Neodiprion lecontei: one gene and its partner. The main gene of each other region encodes a partner of the protein of the gene in region 2 in a complex. Links are inferred from orthologs where the notes say so. Each region holds a gene or a part of one and is shown on either strand. Other genes may lie near its edges. The genes, in order: polycomb protein Scm and polycomb protein Sfmbt.

The links.
Region 1: the proteins of polycomb protein Sfmbt (region 2) and polycomb protein Scm are in contact, whole or in part, in a crystal structure (PDB 5J8Y), measured with the Drosophila melanogaster proteins. The link is inferred for Neodiprion lecontei from reciprocal best matches to the Drosophila melanogaster genes Sfmbt and Scm. Residues at the interface, in NP_001260432.1 of Drosophila melanogaster: Lys1176, Asp1177, Met1180, Met1185, Lys1186, Val1187, Gly1188, Pro1189, Leu1191, Lys1192, Asp1195; in NP_001247006.1 of Drosophila melanogaster: Lys831, His832, Glu833, Ile834, Asp835, Lys837, Ala838, Leu841, Leu842, Met846, Lys849, Tyr850, Met851.

The regions. Positions count from the first base shown.
Region 1 is NC_060263.1:33,902,999-33,908,167, forward strand, and holds the start of polycomb protein Scm, read right to left. Parts: upstream 3,099-5,169; 5' UTR 1,878-3,098; coding exon 1,850-1,877; intron 1,484-1,849; coding exon 1,199-1,483; intron 1,088-1,198; coding exon 852-1,087; intron 757-851; coding exon 189-756; intron 1-188. Other genes in the region: iron-sulfur cluster assembly enzyme ISCU, mitochondrial, read right to left, coding at 3,777-3,871, 4,700-4,778, 4,857-5,081. UniProt on the Drosophila melanogaster protein: Polycomb group (PcG) protein. PcG proteins act by forming multiprotein complexes, which are required to maintain the transcriptionally repressive state of homeotic genes throughout development.
Region 2 is NC_060262.1:36,177,951-36,182,997, reverse strand, and holds the start of polycomb protein Sfmbt, read left to right. Parts: upstream 1-1,901; 5' UTR 1,902-2,152; coding exon 2,153-2,174; intron 2,175-2,192; exon of another isoform or gene 2,193-2,313; intron 2,314-3,499; coding exon 3,500-3,768; intron 3,769-3,891; coding exon 3,892-4,120; intron 4,121-4,996; coding exon 4,997-5,047. Other genes in the region: serine hydrolase-like protein, read right to left, coding at 47-928. UniProt on the Drosophila melanogaster protein: Polycomb group (PcG) protein that binds to the Polycomb response elements (PREs) found in the regulatory regions of many genes.

The DNA of each region.
Region 1 (5,169 bases), on a different chromosome or scaffold from region 2:
AATTTAATTACGATAGTACTTCCGTGGTTGTTCAAAACCATCCAACTTATAAATTTTGTCATGCAAGAAATAATTTATTTTTATTTATTATCTAATCATGATGGATCACAATATTTCTGTTTAAAATTTAAAAAATACTTTCACAACTGTGTATCTGTATCAGAAAAATTAAATTTAATTGGGCTTACATTTTTGCCTCGGTGGCTGTAGCGGATGTCCGCTTTTAAAGCACCAGCCTGCAGGAAATATATCCCGAGAATCGTAACGGCACCAGTAATCAAAAGCACCTCTCCATCCATCGAAAGTTATGTGAATAATGTCATCCTTTACAGCGCCAACAGTTGCTGTGCATATAAGTTGTGGATTTTTCTTATCAATAGCTTCGAGCTTGTACCCAACTTCGAAGAGATTGGAACGTGGATCTTTTGGTTCCCGTTTAAAAACTTTAGCTGGTGCCATTTCAGCGCCATTAAGCGTTTTCAAAAGAAACATTGGCCAGCTAGATGCATTCATCCGGAAACCTAGCGGTGGTTGTAACATTCCCCCAGATTTTTCGCAGTGACCAATCGGATGTATTTCATTGCTATCTACCAAGCGCCAAAAATCGTTTTTGTTATCCGAACCATCGAGTCGCAATCTTAATCTCGGCCCCAAGACTCCAACTACTGTTGCGATGCATGTAGAAGTCAAGTTGCGAGGGTCCAGTGCCTCAAGTTTCATTCCCATTTTAAATTCATTTGTTGGCGGAACTTCGTGCTGCCATTTTACAGGGAAATATCAATTTAATCAATGGGTAGATTTTATACTGTGCAAAAAAGGAAACTAAAATAGAAGATGAAAACAAGTAGTACCTGTTTAAAGCAATCAATAGGTGCAGCCACACTGTTGGTCTCTTTGAGATATAATTCCCAATCAAACGTTTGGTACGTCTCATACTGGAAAGGACCAGATGATGTTGAAGGAGGCTGAGATACAGTTGGTTGACTATTGGTGCCGGTATAAGATTGCGTTGTCGAAGGGATGCTACTTCCACTAGGGAGGCCAGAAGGTGCAGGAGAGGCTGCAGGAGATGGTTGCTCACCATTGTCTATATTTAAAGACACATAGATTATATATTGTGATAATATATTATGAGAAATAACATTATCGCCATAACAGTAAACATCAATGAGTCTATTGATCTAGGATTATTACTAACTTTTTCTTGATTCACTCTCTTTTTTTTGATGCTTATTAAGACAGAAAGAAGAGCAAAAATCCTTGATTGGAGTATCACGCTGTTCCAGTCTGACTGGAGTCCCTCTAATCACATTATCGCACTGCACGCAGGCCCCTCTGATGTAGGCTTTGCGATACTCGGATAAACAAGTTTCTGAACAAAACTCTTTTTTTCCATGCTGTGTCGGCAGTACGTATTTCAACGGCTGCTTTGTTTCTCCGCACCAAGTGCAGGAACTCTTTGGTTTAGGTGGTCGACCTGGGCCTAAGTTGAAATATTAACTTTAAATAGGTCTGCAAAAACTACATGATGTGATTGTTCAGTCATAAATCTGATTGTTTGAAGTTATTTTACAAAATACATCGTTGACACATCTTTCTTTTCAAATCAATGATGCCGAAATATCGTTACGATTTATCTTTCATGTATGGAAGATCATTTAGAAGGTATTAATTTCAAGGTAGTAATAATTCAATATAACGATAGAGATTTACACACTTATTTAATGTAAAAGTACAGATATATAGCATTTGAATAATCTTGCGATTTTAATTGAAGAATAAAAAAAAAAAGACATTAGAAGTGAAAGACGAGGTTATTTACGTATTATAACCGTGCGATATATCATACCTCGCATCTTCCCTTGGTTAGCAGACATCCTGGCCGGTAGTAATTTGGCTAATAATATAAGCCAGAAACAAAACTAACCACCATGAATGATTTATGCAACCAACTAACAATGACACCTACAATCAAAAGAATTTGCATCCATTAACGATACACATTTTGGCATCTAGAGAATGCCCCCTGAGCGCGGAAAATTGTTCCCGGGTTGAAAATAATACCGGCTCGGTTGGGATCGCGCAGTATAATTATATAAATATTATCGATCCGCATTAAGCATTGATTACGTAGGACGTTTGACGATTATAATTCCTACTGTATTTACGTAGTTTTCATTCTGATAATATTATACACCCACAAGCACAGAGTCTACTGTCAACGCCGCCATATTGCTTTTATATAGTCGCGCGCGGTGTCTCTTGGAACCAAATCCTGTCCGATCCGAACTCGCGCCGAATGCCGCCACGGTGTAAAAATTAAGAGATACCTAGTCCGTCCGACTGCTCTATTATACTCCCGACAGAGACTCTACTAGTCTCTGCTCCCGATGCAAGGCTCTGTGATTGTTGTTTTACTAAAGTCCCCTGTCTCTCCGCCACGTGTATCCTTTGGTGTCACAATAGATGATTGTGAAAACATATTTTTCCTGTATCTTTATTTCGAACCTGTTTGATCACTTTGTTTCTGGTCACGGAGTTCGTGAACGGGTTGTTCATTTGCTCTGGTGCAATTTTAGATTACTCCGTTGATACATTAAAATAAAATGGGAAAGTTCCGCTATGTACCTGACTGCCAGTACGGGTATCGGCATTCGGAAACACCAGTATCGTTAGTTGGCGTTCCCGAAGATCATAATTTATTTATAAAGTGGTATTAACGGGTTGTATGTTAAACGTCAACTTTTGCGCGGATACAAATTGTTCTGAAAGACGATTTAAATTTTTGCGGGCGGTGGTTTTTCGGCCTATGCGACACCTGGACTCGGCTGGTGAACTTTGGTAAAATAATCACAGCATCCAGCACGAGTCGGACCACTTATTCTTATACTGTGACCAGCACCAGGCTGAGTTTCTAGAGTGGGAAGGAACATGGGTCAATGCTTAGGCTAAAGAGAGACTGATGATTTTAGCCAGCGACGAGCCCGTCGTTGATTGTCATCACCTCTCGCAAATATGGCATAATAGCGCCATTCAATTATCTTACCGCCCGCATGTATCTATTGAACCGACGCGAGTTCGGGGGACATTAGCATTCTCGAGAGTTAGAGGATTAATTTTTACTCTCCTCAAGATTGTACTTATCCTGTACTAATTTGAGAGTATGCACATTAAAGTTTTACGCACATTATAAGTAACGGGAATTGAGGGCATAGATATACCCAAAATGCTTGAACGCCACTTTTATTACTTCAGTAGAATTTTTCCGATCTGCTATTATATGTATAATATACTTTAATAAAATATAAATTTCCATGAAAAATAGGATCACAAGGTAATTATCACTATGATATATCGTGAACCTGCATAACCGCAAGCTTTATAAACCCGAACAATAAATATTATGCGTACTAAAATATAATTTCAATTATTTTGGATACAAGTGAATACTATATATACATATGTAAGTTTATATGTATATACATACATGTATAAGTCAGTTGGAGAAATTTAATTTGAAATTAAACGACGTACTTACGTTCGATCAGAATCTCACTCTTATAAACTTGATCATACATGTAACTATTATAGATTCTGTATTCATCATCCAAGATTGTACTACAGCAGATAGCTACAGTAAAGAATATTAGACGTTCAATTTAAACGTTGACTAATTTGGATTGCAAGATATGATGCAATATACTATTTTTCGCCAACTATGACCTATAAAGTTTGTTTTCCTGCTTGGTGCTGTTTATACTTCTAGGTATGCAACTCTAAACTTCATTACTGCCAGATGCTGTTTTGGCTTTTGGTTGCTGCTTAATGCGGTAATCAGAAAGTGCTGCCTTGATTGCATCCTCTGCAAGCACTGAAATAAGGATTTTTTAAATTTTATAGTAATTTACATGCCTACGAATGCAAGTTAAAAAAAAGTTTAAAATGGATTTTTAAAAACTGGATTTGGAAATATTGCCTTGAATTTCTGATATAGAATAAAAATTATAGTTTTTACCAAGTCTACTTTACTAAATTACCAGCTAGCTACTGAAAAACCATAGCACTTGGATTTTGGTACATGAAATATTAATTATTAATTTTTCATGCCAGCAACCCAGTTACATTTCTGATTCGTCATACAAATCTTATCTTTAACCTTTCATTACTCGCACTTTGAGCGTGACTTTAGCCTTTAGACAAAAATCCCAATATATGTAACTATATGAGTAACTGTGACTTCATACTTTACTACTTTTTTCTTTGAAATGTTTACTATAGTTGGATATACTCATAATTGATAACTATTTAATGTATAAGAAAAGTATATTAATGTTCAATAAGATCGTGAAATAGTAGCACAGTGCTCATTACACGAGTTAAATCATTGATTCAATTTTTCCGACCACGTTGCCAGAGCTGACTTGGAACATCTCAGCTGACAGTAAAGATGGTCGATACACACAGTGTGCTTATATACTCTTAGATTTAAAAGAAATTATGTTCGATACATATATTTTCAAAATAATCAAATAAGCTGTTTAATGAAAAGATTTCATTACTATATTGTGACGTGGCAATGTCCCATTTCATTTAACATAGGTGGCAGAGTGCTGTCCGCACAATGAAATTCGTTGTGCAAGCAAGTGCCACTAACGAAAGGTTAACAATGCTATTATCAATCTAATGGGCTAAAACTTACTCGAACAATGTAGCTTGACTGGTGGAAGGCAAAGTTCCTTTGCAATGTCAGTGTTCTTTAGCTCCAATGCTTGGTCAACCTGATTACAAATATTAATAGTGATTAGCGATGTTTAAAGTATAATGCACACACAGGATTAATCGAAGCATGAACTTACCGTTTTACCCTTAACCCATTCAGTAGCAAGAGAGCTAGAGGCGATAGCTGATCCGCAGCCAAATGTCTTGAATTTAGCATCAGTGATTTTTCCATTTTCATCAACTTTTATTTGAAGTTTCATGACATCGCCACATGCCGGAGCTCCTACAAGGCCAGTTCCCACATGTTTGTCATTTTTATCAAGAGAACCAACATTCCTCGGATTTTCATAGTGGTCTAGCACCTGGATAATATTGTAACAACGGGGGAAATTAAGAAAGGACTGAGAATCAATGGGTTCACTGCGCGAATTGAGCGAACGCCGAGCCAAA
Region 2 (5,047 bases):
CGTACATGTTTCCATGTGAATTGAGATTAACTAAGAGCTACGTAGATCACAAATTGCTCTTAAGATCACTCAAAAATTGGCATACGTGAGAAGCAACTTTCTCAGGGTGATTATTGTGTACGTCATGATTACCTTCAACTATTAGAAACCTGTGTGATTTCATCAACCTATCTGAACTAAGCCATAACATTTTTTCATAATGAGCTGTAGCCATTGTTGCTGTTGCGGCAATGACTGTCGCAGGTGATTTGAGTTTCTCAAGTAAACTCAAGTGTTGATCAGAATTAAATACCGGAAACAAGCCGGCGTTGAGTCGTACGTCGCGGTTCAACTTGTATTTATCACCAATTTTGGTAACAGATCGCTTCATCAAAGCTTCAGCAGCAGCAAAATTTAGAGCAAAGAATCTTGTATACATGAGCATGTACATCACTTCGTCCTCTGTATATACTTTCATAGTCTTTTCTTTCCCTTCAATGCTCAAAATATTGTCATGTACCTTTCGAATGTGGGGAATTAGTCTATTGTTTGTAATTGGCGTAGCAGTAACTGCGTCAAAACATAAAATTTTCTTTACTCTCTCAGGATAAATTGAGGTGAACATCAGTCCCATAGTAGCGCCTAAACTATGACCTATATAGATACAATTGCTCCATTTAAGACTATCTAAGACTCTGCGAAGAGCTAAAACGTGATTTAAATAATCCAGGGGTAACCCTGCAGGGAAGTGTGACGATAATCCATGGCCCGGTAAATCAATGCAGACAAAGTAATAATCGAATGGTAGAAATGGAATCAGGCGATCAAATGATCCTGCATTGTCCAGAAGACCATGAACCATCAAAACAGGCTTGCCATTAGGTGAACCCCATGCCTTGGCTGCTATGTGACCCCATGGCATTGGAAGACGTAGTTCCTCGGGTGACATATCTGTGAATAAAAATGGAAAACTTGACACAAAATGGTGAACTTCAAAGTAAGTGCATATTTGTGAAGATTTCACCATTCTTCCAAGAGGATGAAATGACAACTCCTACAAGATGTAATACTGTTATTTGGCATAAAGCAACGACATAAAACAAGACAAAGGTAACACGATGAACGGGTGATACAATGCTGTGAGTATATGATTATAATACAAAACAAATTGTTTGGCCTAACGGTTAAATCACCTTGATTGTTGAGTTACCAGTTACACTCAAAATTTTTAGTTACTGATTATCAGTTTTTATTTGGCCTTAGAATGGCAACACTTAAAGGTCAATCAGAGATAAGATACTCAACGTGCTTGGCTATCAATGAACTGAATATATACCACACGCATAACTACAAATCTGTTTATTATTTATGAGCAAACGGTTTTCTATTCGTCAATTGTACATGCATTTGTTGATACTTAGGACCTTATACAAACGGTCTTAACTTAGGACTGATACAGCTAGTCAGGCATGCAGGTCTCATAACAAGTGAGAGGTGAAAACAGGTAATTGACAATAATTATACAAGTCGTCCTTGGTCCTTGGATTGAAAGTTCAGCAACTGTTTATCGTTTGTTTTTCGCATTCAAATTAATTTCGGTATCCTGATATGATCCTGACACGCTACGTAAAAATGCCATCAATTACTGGCAGGAAAATTATCTTTCATTGCGTTAACCACAATTACGTGGCAATTATTTGACGAATTGGTAGATTTACAGCAGTGACAATTGATCTTTGAACTTGGCCGAGGAACCAGCGTTATATCTACGCAAGGCCTACACACTGATGCATAAGGTATGCGTAGTTAGATATTGGACAAAAATGGGACGTGTGCAGTTTGTCCGTCGGTGATTTGGTGTGAAGTAGATAGATACAGCAGCCCAAGGGATTCCAACGGGAAGTGAAGAATCGTATGGTACGGCCCTGGGGTTTAAGGAGGGCGATTGCGATGGTGGGGATGAAGCGAATAGGCCTACCACGAATGTTTTTCGCTATTGTTCGGTGATGTCGCGTAAAACACAATTTTTTTAAGTGAATCTCGGTTTACGGGTGAAAATTTCGATGATAATGTTCTTCGTGTCGATCGGGATGGAGTACCCACTGCGCGAGAAACACAGATTGCGGTAATACCGGGTCGAAATCTCCAAATAAACCCTCCGAAACCCTTTGTCATGGACATGCAGGCCTCCAATGGTTTGTATATATCTTTACCTTTTCTCAATTTTCCCCATAACTTTCAGATAGTCGTAGTTGAATGTTTTACTGCACGGATAAGACCTCCTTTTTTTAGATTCTCTCCCAAGTTTTTCAAGGACATCATTCGGGTCGAAGGTAACGTATGTAAAAAGGTTAAATAAACGCAGGCTTTCGGGCGCCAGGCGTCGGTTTCAGGAGCGTAATTAATTTACAGCCGCTAGTTTCCCTTGCTCGCCCCCATCCCCCTTCCTGCTCCCTCTGCACTCCACATCGCCGTTTCTATGTGCTTGAATGCATTATATCACATATGAAAAATCACGTAATATAGTATTATTCATATCTTAACAATACACGTTTTTATCTGCACGCACTAAATACTCTTCCAAAGTTTTCCTAGGTCTTTGGGTTCGTACCGCCGAAGCAAAGGCGCTCTCGATGTGGTATGGACTATTTATGATGAATGGAACACTTATCTGTATAACTCTGATCAATTTTCATTTCTACATAATAAGTACATCGAAAATGATGTATTTTTTTAAATCCATTCCCAATACTTCTCGGAAACAACATTTTTTACTCTAACGTAGAGATCATATCAATTGTGTGTTACGTCCCTGTCCGAGCTCTCTTATGTTTCATGTATTCGTCACAATTGTTTCGATTGATAACTTTGCACAAAATTGTCACTGTAGCGTGTCATGCTCTCTTTTTAAAGCAGTACCAAATGCTTCATATATTGGATTGCCGTGACCATAGCAGGTAGCTTGATTAAGCTTACATAAAAATAATGTAATTGTGTTCGTCAGCGGTAAAATACTTCTGAGATTTTTCAATGCGACTTGACATAGTAGCACATTTAAGATCTTAAATCTGACTTCTACTTTGTAAAACAAAGCATTAACTATTGAGTAATGAGCCACCTAGTTATTCAAGCCAGAGTGGATCAGATATATCCATCCATTCATCTGCTTTGCTTGATAGTAGCTATCATCATAATGAAACTTGATTCTGTCAGAAGTGTTGAATAATGACGATATTCATGGACTAAGAAGTCACGTGCTGGTTCAATTTTTTTTCGGTCCATCGTCATATACGACGTGTATAATCAATGCATTGCAATGGACAATATGCTCTTTTAAATTAGAGCGATGCTCATTCAATGATAACTACTGCTCCTGTTACTGTAAATAATACGCATTAGCTCTATATATCAATATCATTAGAATTATATTTATGGTTCTATGTCTATTTACCCATTCACTGATATTGCGATAATGATACTGATACATACGTCTAATAAGCTTAACGTTCTCTATATCCAGTATATACATCCATCCCTGGGATGCCAGAGCTGGGGATGGTATGGATGAGTGACATGATGATGCATGGGGAGCCAACACATGAGTTGATGCTAGACCCGCGCCAACCAGAAAGCCCTTTTTTCTCTCATGGATCTCATTCTTTTGACGATCTGCGTAATCATCACATGGGCCCGCCTACTATGGTGCGATATTTGGCCCCACAGTTTACTGCCGAATGCTCAGAACCTGACGAAGCGATGGAGGCTGTGGATACTCAAGAAATACAAAATGTAAGTTATTTCATATCTCCCGTCGTAGAAGACCATTCTCTGATTATTGATTTTAGATCATATCAATTTTTTTGATGAACAACGTTTGTACATGCAGTCAATTTGTTTAAAAATATTGTGTAGGAATATGACCCGCAAACTGGGCCAGAGATGAGCGAGTACATGACTATAGAGGATTACATGGCTGATGGAGATCGTGAACAGGTGGTCACAAATGCAGCTACGCAGACCCAAGACAATCGAAACCGCAAGATCAAACCTATAAAACATCCAGGCTTGGTCCTAAAGACTCCAATTGCTTATCAGCCACATACAGATTTGAACTTTATACCTATCCGTAAGGATGGCATTGGTAAGTCATTCTTATAAGAAATATATTTTATAATCACGTCTAGCAGGTATGCATTACAGTTGAAGCTTGAAAAAGATACCATATCTTAAAAAAAGAAAAGTATCTGCACACAAATTATAAGACTGCGCTATTTAAATAACTTCTGTGATGTACTTCACCTAAATTTTAAAAAATACGAAAGAAAAGAAAAAATGGTTAATCGACAACGTTTGGGTTTTATTTCTCTATTTTATTTACTGGTTTTCGATCAGGGCAAATGAATTAACTGAAATACGAAAATTGATGCTCGATGAATAAGCACGTGAAAATGTTATGGCGAAGCTAACGAAAAGCACATACTTCAACGTGAAGATATATTTCTCAATATATGTATATGTTTCAATCACGTATAATTAAGATGCAGGAGATAATTGTGGATTCAGTCTCTTTATGTCTAGGCTATTTGCCACGCATCTCCTTGTCTACTATCATCGCTTTTTCCTGTTATTATGAATCTCCACACTGTAACTGGACACTTTTCTTTCTATCTTTATATTCGTTTACACACTTACTCGATATAAATTCTTTCATCAATTCCCTGTTATTCCAGGCACTCATTCTCTTCCCTATTCAGAACCAAACATCTCAAGTCCATCTTGTATTTTTATACTTCTGATTAATGATATCATATAGAAATTGTTCAATTGGATTTGATCAGAATTACGATCCTTCATACTTGCAATTTTCAAGTGAAATCGTCCATGAGAAATGTAATACTAGTGGCAAGAGTTTCTTAAATAGCGAAATATTTTCTTTGCAATGATTGAAATATACTTACTATTCAAACACAAACAATTCTAATGACTAAAAAAAATATAAATTCAACTTTTATCATAGCTGTGTGTGAAAAATGTGGTGCAATTGGTGTGAAGCACGCGTTCTACACCA